Neurospora crassa OR74A: one gene and its partners. The protein of the gene in region 3 interacts with the protein of the main gene of each other region in a pairwise test. Links are inferred from orthologs where the notes say so. Each region holds a gene or a part of one and is shown on either strand. Other genes may lie near its edges.

Evidence for each region.
Region 1: the proteins of pex5 (region 3) and NCU08002 interact in a two-hybrid assay, tested with the Saccharomyces cerevisiae proteins (2 studies listed by BioGRID). The link is inferred for Neurospora crassa OR74A from reciprocal best matches to the Saccharomyces cerevisiae genes PEX5 and CAT2.
Region 2: the proteins of pex5 (region 3) and pex7 interact in a two-hybrid assay, tested with the Saccharomyces cerevisiae proteins (2 studies listed by BioGRID). The link is inferred for Neurospora crassa OR74A from reciprocal best matches to the Saccharomyces cerevisiae genes PEX5 and PEX7.

What each region holds. Positions count from the first base shown.
Region 1 is NC_026504.1:3,880,586-3,884,891, forward strand, and holds NCU08002 (carnitine acetyl transferase), read right to left. Parts: upstream 2,808-4,306; 5' UTR 2,514-2,807; coding exon 2,424-2,513; intron 2,356-2,423; coding exon 641-2,355; intron 564-640; coding exon 437-563; 3' UTR 53-436; downstream 1-52. UniProt on the Saccharomyces cerevisiae protein: Carnitine acetylase is specific for short chain fatty acids. Carnitine acetylase seems to affect the flux through the pyruvate dehydrogenase complex. It may be involved as well in the transport of acetyl-CoA into mitochondria.
Region 2 is NC_026504.1:2,328,744-2,332,784, reverse strand, and holds pex7 (peroxisome biogenesis factor 7), read right to left. Parts: upstream 2,567-4,041; 5' UTR 2,263-2,566; coding exon 1,864-2,262; intron 1,767-1,863; coding exon 1,071-1,766; 3' UTR 508-1,070; downstream 1-507. Other genes in the region: NCU07661 (hypothetical protein), read left to right, coding at 1-329; NCU07663 (GRF zinc finger domain-containing protein), read left to right, coding at 2,994-4,041. UniProt on the Saccharomyces cerevisiae protein: Receptor required for the peroxisomal import of proteins containing a C-terminal PTS2-type peroxisomal targeting signal, such as 3-oxoacyl-CoA thiolase. Specifically binds to cargo proteins containing a PTS2 peroxisomal targeting signal in the cytosol.
Region 3 is NC_026501.1:8,571,310-8,575,442, forward strand, and holds the start of pex5 (peroxisomal targeting signal receptor), read right to left. Parts: upstream 2,810-4,133; 5' UTR 2,269-2,809; coding exon 2,098-2,268; intron 2,025-2,097; coding exon 282-2,024; 3' UTR 1-281. Other genes in the region: NCU16466 (nucleic acid-binding protein), read right to left, coding at 3,654-4,133. UniProt on the Saccharomyces cerevisiae protein: Receptor that mediates peroxisomal import of proteins containing a C-terminal PTS1-type tripeptide peroxisomal targeting signal (SKL-type).

The sequences.
Region 1 (4,306 bases), on a different chromosome or scaffold from region 3:
TAACACAATATATCAACATATTGTACAGCTTCACAAGACATGGCGGGCACGAGGGCGTTATGCAAATTTTGTTCAGATATGTATGCCACTTACTATTGACCCTCCTCCCGGGCAGGCAAAAACTACCTGAACCAGATGTAGAAACAGATGGTATATATGAAGTTGAAACAAACAAAAGAAAACAGGAAGAAGGAAAAAAAGAGCCCAAAAAAAAGGCATCATGATATATAGCTAAAACGGACTGGTACAACATGCATGCTACTGTTCTTCCTTGTTCTTCTTCTGTTTCTTCTTCTTTCCTTGTATCCGCCTTCCGGATTCTATGTATCTTTTTCCTTATCCAAAACTCATGTCATGCCTTTCATTTCCTTTCCTTCCTCTTCTTTCCATGTTTCTCAACTTCCCATGCCCTAGCCCAAAGCCTACAGCCTATAGCTTAGAGCTTGGACTTGGGAGCCTCCAGAGTGGGGGTAAGGAGATCGCGGAGGTCGTTGGCGGCCTCGTTGAGGTAGTAGCTCATCCTGTCGGAGCCGAGGCCCTTGGAGACAATGTTAAAGTTGAGGCTGTTGAAAGTCTCACGTGTTAGCATTTTCATCTGATTGTCATGTATGCGGGAAAAGAAAGAGGTGGAGCAACTGACCTGTTCTCGTTGATCATATAAGCAATACCGAATCCCTGGTCAATAACCTGGCTCCATCCGTATCCGTTGAAGAACTCGGAGCTCAGCTGGGAAGTAGACAGGTACCACGAACTCGAGTATCCGTAGGCGGGATCCTGGTACAGAGCGGGGACCTCCTGGTTGGGCTCGAGCAGGCGCTTGAGGCCAAACAAGTGGCGGTCGACGCCCTTGCCGTCCGAGGCGGCCGAGATGTACTCGAGGTGGGAGTCAATGGCCTTGCGGAAGAGCTCGACCTTGGTCTTGTCGTCGACGCTCGCGTCGTTGGCGGCCTTGCAAAAGGCCACGCTGGCCTCGCTGACGGAGCGGCACGTCTCGGTGCGACCCTGCTGGAAGCGGCGGGTGGCGGCCGACTCGTAGGTCGGACGGTTCTTGCCGTACATCTTGTAGTAGGCCAGCTGGATGATCATCTGCACGTAGGCGTCGGGGGAGCACTTGAACTTCTTGATCAGACCCTTGCCGTAGCCCTGGAAGGCCTGCACCGCGAGCTGGTGCTGGCCGATGACGTTGCTGAAGTCAGTAATGGCCCGGTCGATCTCGGCCTGGACCTCCTTGGTGACGGTGAACTTGACGGCTTCGGGCTCGGGCAGGTTGGAGCGCACCGAGGGGTCGGAGAAGTCGAGCTTGTTGTTGAAAATGACGTCGTTGACAAAGTCGTTGAGGCGGTGAGTGGGCGTGCCGTCCATCATGCTGTGCTCGCCCATGAAACCCGAGGTGCCGTTGTCGTTGACGATGAACTGGAGAGGCTTGTCGTACCAGCGGTTCTGGCCGTCACCGTGCCAGTACTGGTGAGCGCGCTCCTCGAGGGTGACGGGGGCGGCATCGTCAAGGCAGACGACGAAGGAAGAAGCCTCAATGGCCTCGAGAGCCTTAGCATTCTTGGGGTCGGCGGAGAGGAGAGTAGCGCGGGCGTCGGTCCAGACGTCGCGGTTTTCGGAGGTGAGAGCACCGACAGCGGGAGCGCGCGAGGCAGCGAGCTCATAGACGCGCTTGAAGGCCTGCTCGAGCTCAGCGGTGTTGAGCTGCTTGCCGCCAACCTCATGGTAGATCTTGTAGAACTGGTTCTTGCGGATGGCGAGGATGTACTTGTGCTCGTCGGCGCTGAACTTGACGGGGTAATCGGCGGGCTTGGCAGCAACGCGGCTGGCGTTGAACATCCACTTGTAAGAGTCCATGCAGATGGGGAGCTTCTTCATGTACTCGGGCTCGAGAGTGCCCTGGTCGACCATCTTCTTAAACTCGAGAGCGGCGGTGGTGATGGCAGCAGCGCGCTTGGCAGGGTCGCGGCGGCGGCGGTCATCGCGGTGAGAGTAGAAGTAGCTGACGTAGGGGACAACGGGGTCGCGGTAGGAGAGGTAGGCCGCATCGTTCCACCACTCGTAGAGCCAGTTCTTGTGCTTGGGGTCTTCGCGACGGGCGACCAGCTTCTCCTGGAGCTTGCGACCAGGGCCATTGGGGGCAATGAAGGCGTCAATGGCCTTCTTACTGTTCTCGAGCTCCTGGGGACTGAGAAGGGGCTTCAAAGACTGGTAGTAGCGGGCAGCCGTCTCCTCGAGGGTAGGGACGGGAAGACGGGGGAGAGACTCCTGGAAGCGGAGCATGGGGCCTTTGGACTTGTCCTCGACATAGCCGGCGGGGAGGGAGCTGTTCTTCCTTGTTTGCGCCATGGCGGAGATTCTCTGAAGAAAGAAAGGTCGTCAGTCAGTCGCGTGCGCGCAGCAAGGAAGGGAAACCATCCATGACTTACAAGAGGGGTAATAGCAGCGGAGGTTGGTTGTCTAAAGAGGTGTCTAAGCGTAGTAGACCGAGCCTCAGATCGCACAATGGAAGCCAACATTACTCGATAACCACAGACAATGGTGGAGCTAAGAAGAAGAAGAGGAAGAATAATAACAAGCAGTGAAGACGGGAACGGGAAGCGGAAAAGGGAAAAAGAATAAAAAGAGAGAGCTGGGCAGTGAGGCAGACGCGGGAGGCGAGGCAAGTTATGAGGCAGACGTGGAGGCGGTGGGTTTGATGTACACCTTGAGGGGTGCTGCCGACTACGACTCGGTAGCTCGGAAGTCGGAACAAGTGGACACTTTTGGGCTTGTCTCGTGGATATTGTTTACTCGTGGAGGTGGCCCATGGGAGGCGGGCTATAGACAGACTACCCCCCTTCCCTATATCTAGACTACTTAACCGCTTAGGGCAAGGCTTCTCAGCTTTTCTCCGCCGTACAAAAAAAGAAAAGTTTTACAACAGGCCAAAGAAGTGTAGAATCCTCAGTCTTCGCCCGGGTAGGAAGATCTATTCTATAATAATCTACATTGAAGCTTTCGCTTAGTTGTAATCTGAGTTTGACCGGACTCGTTTTCTTTCTTTCTTTCCTCTTTTTTTCTTAATTTTTTTTTTGGGAGGGGGGGGGGGGAGAATGCATCTAATAAAAGTGCATTGCCCTGACAAGAGTGACAAGAGAAGTGACTAACTATTTCTTGGAGGAATTTGCGAAAATGACCGATCGTGAGCTAACAGACTTTCACCTGATTTTTGTAGTGGAATGTTAGCCATGAAAAAGATTGGTCAAATTCCTCAGAGCCATGCCCTAAGCGGTTAAGTAGTCTAGATATAGGGAAGGGGGGTAGTCTGTCTATAGCCCGGCTCGGCCCATGGGGGGATGGTTGTCGATGGAGACGGGCAAGACGGGGGGACCGGGGCACGGGAGACAAACCACCACCGACATGAAACCTTGACCGGACTTATTTGTAGGGTACCTTGAGGGTATGTATGTATGTATATCTCTGTAGGCCGAGGCTTTGTCTCCAAAACTGACAGAGATAGATCTCACCGGGCAATCCTACCCCAACTGAGAGCCAGTGTCAGGCTACGGTATCCTCCGCTCACCATGTCGTCGACCATGTCCCATCTGTTTCTTCAGATCAGATCCCATGATGGTGGTCCGTGATGCTTGCTGGTGCTCGATTCCGCGGTGGTGGTACCTGTCTGTTCTCATTCCATCCTATCTCCCTATGTACCCGTCTGTGTACCCGCTTCGCGGGGATCTTTCCGCCCGCACGTTCTTCTTCCCCATTCCCCCATCTCCCGTCTCTTTAGTTTCTCCAACTGCCCGTTGAACTGGGATTGGATTGGGAGGGAACAAAAAACGTGGGGCAGTTACACATTCCGTCGCTATCTATACTACGTACATAGGCCGCTGAGATGATATGAGAGGCCGAGCATACGCCGTAGACTACCGTGACTACGTAGGCGACAGCGGAGGTACAATGAGCAAAAAAAGTGGATGCGCTTGTCCGAGTGACCCACTGGCTGACCCCATTTACCCCTCGAGCCGAGGCTCAAAGTAGCCGACGGCAATGGCATTGACGATTGCCAAGAAACTCTCTCTCCAATTCAGGCCCAGTGAGCTTGAGTCCCGGCCCAGAACAGGAAAGAAAGCCAAGAGGGCCGCCAAACTTCAACCCCACGTTTTGCCGGTGGTGGTGGGTGGATGTCTTCCTCGCCAACTACATAGGTGAACCCAAACGAGTTTCAATCAGAGTTGATCTTCATCGGATTGGTGCGCATCACGAACACCAAAGCAAAGAAACTCATCCATATGTCCGGCTCGCAGAAGTAGAAGTGTGCCTCACT
Region 2 (4,041 bases), on a different chromosome or scaffold from region 3:
CCATGGCTCACCCGCCCAACCCAAGCAACCCTGTTGCTGTTGAGAACGCCCCCGTGGCTTCTGCTCGAGCAAGCGAGGAAGCAGAGACTCTAGTCGACGGTTTCAATGGAGGCAACAACAGCAAGCGGTACCTAATCACCAAGCAGGAAGACTTTTACCAGGTGAATGACTGGCTCAAATTTGTGTTCTCGAGTCCGGGAGCGTGGGTGTGGTATGCCATTCAGGTGTGGAACTCGATCTTGTGCGTGGTAGGCGTGGTACTATTTGAACCATTGATCAGGGCTATTGGGATTAGGAGGGAGGGAGGCGGAAAGCCAAAGTGGACGTGAATTTCCGAGGATGTTGAGTCTGTAGCCATATTGGGGAACCCCTCGAGAAATTCTATAAGTGGAAGGGGTGCAAGAGATAAGATTGAGAAGATCCAAGCCAAATGGAAGAAATTGGATGTTACAGCACAAACTGGGATGGTGAGACACCAGCTGTATCGGTAATACTCAAGAGAGATAGTCATGGACAAATATGTATACTCAAGTTGACTGCATTCCTTTAATACACTGGTACCACACGTCTCAACGCATAGCGATACTAAGGGTAGAAATTTGAGCTTACCATCATCTCGAATCATGGTATACTGTTCTTCTAATCCTCTAGATGCCTTATACAATTATGTTCTGTCTCTTTCCCGCCCCTTCTCTCGTACTGACCGACTCTCGCGTCGGGACGGTCAATTTAACCCAATTCCTGTACCGATTTATTTCCTACTTTCGTAAGCTCCAGCCAAGGAACACGTTTGGTCAAATCTCCTGTCCGCTGTCACCATGTCTGTTCTGTTCGTATAATGTCGGCTTCTAGACGTACAAACTCCCCGGGGTATCGCTGCGCAACTGAGGGGGCGCTTTTGTGCATGCAATGATTCTCAGCAGCCGATAGTCGATCGGTCTTGATTTTGCCCTCATATCTTCTACTCCTTTACTATCAGGCAGTTTGCCACGTAAATTTGCCTGAGCAATCCACTCAAAGACCAATCAACTCAAATACGTTTTTCCACCTCTTTCAAACAACCTGCTTCTTCATCCACGCAACAGGGACGCAGCATCCCAGAGTAGCACTCTCTCGTCCCAGCCGGCCGACGCGCACCAACCGCCTGCACCGAACAAACACCAATCCACGCCCGTAACAAACTCAGTATGCCTGTTCATAAGGCCCAACTGAGTTCCCGCACGGACAGTGTCAGGCTGGCGCCCGCTCGGTACCGGTGGCTGAACGTGCTGCGGCATAGTGGATCCGTCCGTCCACACGCGCACGCTCATGTCGTAGCTGGCGCTCACCAAGATGTCGCTGGCGTGCGGGCTCCATGCAACGCGGCGGACCGCGTACTCGTGGCCTGTCATGAGCGCCAGGGGACCGCCGGCCGGGTTGCGGATATCAAACGTGCGTATGACGCGATCGACGCCCGCCGTGGCGATCACCGTGTCGTTATATTTGTTCCAGTCGTGCGTCAGGACTTCGTTCGGCACCGTGCCCGAGTAGATGGAGCCGTCGGCAAGGCGCGAGTAACCTGACCCGCCCGTGGCCGGCGCGTGCACGGGGATCACGTTGGTCAGGTGGTACTTGGCCGATACGGGCGTGCGTAGGTCGAAGATGCGCAGGGAAGAGTCGGCGGAGACGGCGGAGACGAGGGCGGCGTTCGAGGGGCAGTAGGAGGTGCTGTAGGTGCAGCAACCAATGGGGAGGGTCTTGAGGGAGGCGTTGCGCGTGGGAGACCACTGAAGACAGAGTAGGAGGATTGTAAGCCAGCGCGCAAGTCGATCGGCCATGATGCTACGATGGTGGGTGGGAGGAACACAAGAGATGAGCACATACAACTTTGACGGTGCCATCCCAGGAACTCGAGATGAAGCTGTCCTTGGTGACGGGATTCCAGCAAACCGAAAACGTTTCCCGCTTGTGTTCGTGAAAGTTCATGACAGGGAAGTTCTCCACCCCCAGGTCGAAGAGCTTGATGGAGCCATCGCCGCAAGCGACAATGAGCTGATTCTCGTTGAGCTCCGACCAGGCAAGATCGTATTGGGCATCGTTTGTCTCAAAGGTCTTTTCGCACTGGACGCCGGCTGCGCTCAGGCCCAGGCAGAAGAGGCGACCGTTGCCGACGATGCCATAGTTGGCGGCAGTGGCGACAGCAAGGCGTGAGTCGTAGTATGGGGAGTACTTGACGGCGTAAGGATTGTAGCCCGGGGTACGAAATTCCAGCATGGACGCCATGTCGAGAAACGTGGGCTTGTCATGTGCTGCCCATCAGGAGGTCTCTGTAAAAAGGTTGGCGTTGCAATGGGCGCACGACCTCTTAGCCGACGTGAGTGGTTGACAGCCTAATGAATCTGCCAGCGACGGTCGCGAGATGAGGCGTTGCACCTGGAAATGACGGCGACGGCTTGGACGTATCGGTAGGGTTTGAAACGGGCGTCGGGTGTAGGTGTTGGCAGAACTTACTGTGACGGGATGGAAAGCTGGTTGGAAACTAATTGAAGAACGCCAAACAGCGACAACGCCGTGGGGAAAGCCTCGGCTTGTCAGCTTACATCTGGATATTAGTGGGGTACCCCGGAAGCCCGCCTGGCATCCAATCCATATCTGGTCGGCACGTTGCCCCTGCCGCGGGCGTGGAAGCCCCGGGCCGTAACGGCGTGAGCCCCACAGCATGGATGGATGTGCTCGCTAACTCTCTAAGGGATAGCGCCTACCCATGACGTCGCCCCAGGATACGTAAAATATAGTGCACACTAGAAATAAGTACCGACGTGTCCCCGTGACAGCGCGTGTTTGGCCACTTTCAATCACGTCCCCCTCCTTCCTCTTCGTAACAAGGACGCGTCTGAAAATACAAATCCATGTTCATCTTTCATCCCACGCGCATCTAACCAGCGTGAACCCGGCCATGGTAACAGACACTCCAACATGTCGAGATTTTGTACTCCTTCCTCTAAGCCGTGGCAATGGACAGGTTCATAACGAGGGGGAAGAGGAAAGCCGAGTTGACGCTGGAGGAAAACGTGGACACCACGCAAATAAAGCAGACTATCACCGCCTTCAATAATCCCATTGACAACACTCCGGATGGCGATGGAGAATCAACCGATATCAAACTGGCCATACTTGCTTCATTGCATCCAGACTTCGGTCATGATGCGTTACTGGATCTTCTAATCACCCACGATGGATCCGTGGAAGCCACCACGGAGGCTTTGAAAAGTGCCCAGGGCGCAGGGCAGATAGCCAAGAAGAAGTCGTCAGGTATTATTTCACAGGCTTCTTTACGCTCTTTCGCCGTTCCATCTACCACCGGCGATGGCGACCATGGCGGTGCTAGTATTATCCCCAAGAAACCCAAGCTCCTTTCCCGGAAAGGCGCAACACTCCATCTCTACGACCCCTCCGACATCAGCACCCACACCCCTTGCACCGTCATCCACAACTTCCTCCCCCCTTCGGTCGCCAACAGCCTCTTGGTAGAACTCTTGGAAGAAGCCAAGACCTTCGGCAAAGCCACGTTCAAGCTCTTCGATAACGTAGTCTCTAGCCCCCACACATCCTGCTTCTTTGTCGGGAGCGATTACGAGCTGGCCGAGCAAAAATCGGCCTACTTCTACAACGGCGCGCGCCTCTCCGATATCCGCCGCCTGACACCTCAGCTGGAAACAGTGCGGCCGTTGGTGCAGGACGCCGTTAATACCGAGATCCAGAAGCGCATCCGGACTCATCACCTGTACGGCGGTAAAAAACTCAAGTACCAGTCCCCCGACCGTTGGTCGCCCAATGCGGCGTTTGTGAATTTGTACGATGGCCCGGAACAGAATGTCGGCTGGCACAGCGACCAGTTGACTTATCTTGGTCCGCGAGCCGTCATCGGGTCTCTTTCGCTTGGCGTGGCAAGGGAGTTTCGGGTGCGGAGGATCTTGCCCAAGGATAAGGACCAAGACGGTAACTCCTCCAGTACCACGTCCAACGCCAACCTCGACTCCCTGAATGAAGGTCAAATCTCCA
Region 3 (4,133 bases):
TCCCCAACACAAGCTGTTAACAACCCCGACAAGCCAGCTACATTCGCTTTGTACAGTACTTAATATTTGTATATTCACCAAAACTCCCTATAATCATCCGAACATAGTGTACTCGCCTCACTCGACAAGTAACCCTCGTCCAAGTCCTCATCACACCACTGCTGCTCCTCCTTCAAGGCCTTCTCCATTTCGACATCAACATCGTAGTAAACATCCTCCATAGCGTCATACCCAACCATCCACTCCTGAGCCTCTTCTTTCAACTCCAACTCTGACTCACTCTAGAAATCAAACTCACCACGGAAGATCTCGGGATCCACGCCCGTAGTAACCTTCTCCGCCAGATCCCTCCGTCCCATCTGCGTGAACACGCGACGGAGAGTGTCGTAAAGGGTCGTGCTCCTGTTCTGCGTCATCATGTTATCGATACGCGAGTCGCTATCACCCGCATTGCCGCCCAGCAGCTCGCGCGCCTTCTCGCGTCCGCTCTTCTCTACAGACTTGTGCATGTCCAGCGCCGCGAGCAAGTGACCCGCGGCCTCAGCATGGCAGCCAATGTTGATGCACGAGACGCCAAGGTTGTAGCGGGCGCGGACAAAGTTGGGGTGAATGGCGAGGGCCTTTTCGTAGGCGGCGATGGCCTCCTCGGAGCGGCCGCTGTTGGCGAGAGTGGCGCCCAGCCGGTTCCAGAGCAGGTGGATCTGTTCGCGCTGGTTGGAGGTGCCGAGCTCGGTCGAGTGCAGCGCCGACTGGAAGCAGTCGACGGCCTTGTCGTAGTCCTCGGCGCCGTAGAACAGGACGCCTAGGCCGACCTGCACGTCGGGGTCCATGTGATCGCCATCGGGAGCGAGGCGGGCCGCCTCGAGGAAGAGGTTGGTGACGCGCTCGTGCAGCTGGGCGCGGTCGGTGAAGCCCATGTCAGCGGCCGAGGAAAGGTTACTGGGTGAGATGACGCTGGGGTACTTGGTCGACAGCCAGCGCTCGAGCGTGCGGTAGGCGGTGCTGTCGTAGCCCTCGTTGGTGTAGGAGACGGCTAGGCCCATCATAGCAGAGAGGTTGTTGGGGTCGAGCTTCATGGCACGCTCGAGAGCACGGATGGCAGCTTCTTCCTTCTCGTTCTGGGCTTGCGTCTGTCCGAGGTAGACCCACGCCTCGGTGTGGTCGGGGTTCTTCTGGACCGCAGCCTCGAAGGCCAGAGCAGCTAGCGACAGGTTCCCGCCCTCCTTCATGATACGAATACCCTCTTCGAATGGGTTTGGTGTCTCCCTGAAGAGGTTATCTTCCTCGAAGAGGTACTCTTGCACGATAGGGTCCGCGCCGAGCCTGCCGTTCAGCGTCCAATCTTCCTTTTCCAGGTTCTCACTGTCGAACTTGGCAAAGTCGTCCTGGACATCAATCTCGTCCAACTCCTTCATGGCGTCTCTTTCGGCCTGGATACCGCGCCAGATGGATTCGAGATCGCCAGCACCAGTCTCGGAGTGAAGTAGCGCCTCGTCCATCTTGTTGAGCTCGGGCTCCATGGCGCGGGCCTCGTCACCATTGATCTCCAGCTGAGCAAAATGCTCTTCCCACTTGTTCTGGTCGAGCTCAACAACTTTGCCCTTACCCTTGCCCTCGGGCTGTAGTTGTTGCTGGGGAATGTTGTGCATCTGAGGGCCGTGCATGCCGACCATGGGCTGGTACATGGGTCGCTGCATCATGTTGTAGTTCATGTTGCCCATGCCCATCATGCCACCACCCATCATGGGGCGCTGAGCAGGCATCTGGCTGGCGGTGGCCGGCGCCGCGGCGGGGTGCATTTGCTGGAACTTTGAAAACTCATCGGCGCTGAACTGAGTGCCAGGCGGCGCATTGAAGGCGGCTTCCATAGCCGCCTGTGTGTTGTGGAAGTCCTGAGCCCATGCTGGCGAGGCGTTCGGGGCGCGCATGTGGGCGCCTTGGCTCGGGTCGAGGTGAAGCATATGTCCTTGTTCGAGAGGCATATGAGCCATCTCCGGCGTTTGGTTTAGGAATCCGTTCACCATCTGTTCGAGAGGATCGTCATGTCAGCCAAGAGCGCATGCCTTGCCGTCAACAATATCCATGAAGATTCCTTACCTCATCTTGGCCAGGCCCGCGGTTAATACTCCGGAAGCCACCAACCGCAGCATTGGGACCTCTGTTGGCAAGTCTGTCATGTTGGAGGCTCTTGTCGTCTCCAACATGCTTGGTAAACTGACTGAGCGGGTTGCCCGCCGTCGAACACTCGGCTCCACCCATGAAAGACATTTTGAAGATGTTGGATATTAATGCGACAATGGCGATGTTTCGGCGAAAGTTGACAACGAAGCCCAAGACAGAAGACAAGATGGGCGGCTCTTGTACACTATCTGGTAGACGAAGTAGAGCGCTATGCGGTCGACTGTTGGGAAAGCAGCGGCCCGCGCAAGTTGTAGAGGCAGGCTGGAAGTAGCGGTAGCTAGGTAGATTTTTGCGCAGGGCAAAGGAAGGATGACTTTAGTTTGGAAGAGGGAAAGAAAAAAAGAAGTGGAAGTAACAAACAAGCCAGGCACGGGCGTGGTGAGCTCGTGGAGTTGATTAATTAGTGATCAAGCGGCGGTGTCCAGAACTGAAGTTGTCCAGGTGAAAGAAAGAAGTTGACCGACTCTCGCGGGATGTGTGGCAGGTGTGCTGTCTTGTAAGTAACGACGGGAGCCCACGGATGCACGGGCGGGTTGTCTGGGTCCGGCATGTGTGGATGGCAGCAGCGTGGTTAGAAATCGGGCTCTGCATGCATCTGAAGTGAGTTGGAACCTTGGGCGCCAAAAGCTCAGGTCACTCAGGGGCACAAGGGGGGCACCGCCGTGCGCCACCTGAACAGCTGGAAATGCCGAGGCAGCCAGGGCACCTCAGCCAGCCATCATATCCACCTCACCGCGCTCTTGTTAGGTCTTTTTGGGCTGTGGCAGTTGCCGGCCACACCTCAGGCACTTGTTGCCTGGCCGCGGCTATTACTGGTAACCCCGCCAATGGAGTGTTGTCAACCACACCTCACATGGAGCCGAACCCCAGCCCGGCCCGTGGAGTACACCCCCGCCCCCGCCCCCGGATCCATCATCGATCCCTTCGTTCCTTCAAACGACAGCCGAGAACAATCGGACGACAGCGGAGTGCGGAAATCATACTCGCATGCCGACAGCACGGCAATGTACGCAAGTTGAAAGGGAAAATGAACAATCAAACGATGCGTTTCGAGCAGATCGTCACGTCACGCATACGGGATGCAGGACGCAAAGAAGGTACAGAAGACCACCCCTCTATTCGTACATATGTACAGCGATATAACCAACAAAAAATGGTAAACGAAAACAACTAGTCGCAGTAAGAAGAAAGAAGAGAAGATTTTTCGTAGTTGTACAGGTATCATTGCAAGCAAAAGGTCAGGATGATGTACGCAGAGTGATCGTACTGCAAAGGCGCCACAACACCAATCCCACAGTTTCCCAATCCCAATGTGCCCCAATTTTGGCAACATTTGTCAAGAAACACAACCGGCCTCTTTTCTTTTTTGAAAACCGAACTTGCCCAGTTTTGCCCTCCATTACATCCGTTTCCCATCCTCTTCACCCAGTCATGTCGTAACCATTACATGCCCTCGATTGCGGCTTGTTAGTTTAGAACTCGGTGGACTCGCCCTGGTCGCGGCGGTTGTAGTTGCGGTCGCCACCCTCGCGGTTGTAGCTGCGGTCGCCACCCTCGCGGTTGTAGCTGCGGTTGCCACCATCACGGTTGTAGTTGCGGTTGCCACCCTCACGGTTGTAGCTGCGGTTACCGCCGTCGCGGTTGTAGCTGCGCTGACCATCGCGCTGACCATCACGCTGCTGACGGGGGCGGTACTCGCGGCGTTCGCCGTTGTTCTCACGGGGCTGACGAGCAGCGGCGGGCTGAGCATAGTCAATCTTGATGGTCCTCTCGCCGAGCTGGGTACCCTGGAGCTTCTCCAAGGCGTTGACGGCAGCCTCAACGTCGACGAAGTCGGCGTGGGCGAAGCCACGGGGCCAGCCGGTAGCACGGTCAACGGCGACGCGGACGTCCTTGAGACCGTCAATGCCGACGAAGATGTTGTTCAGCTCGGCATCGGTGGTCTCGTAGGG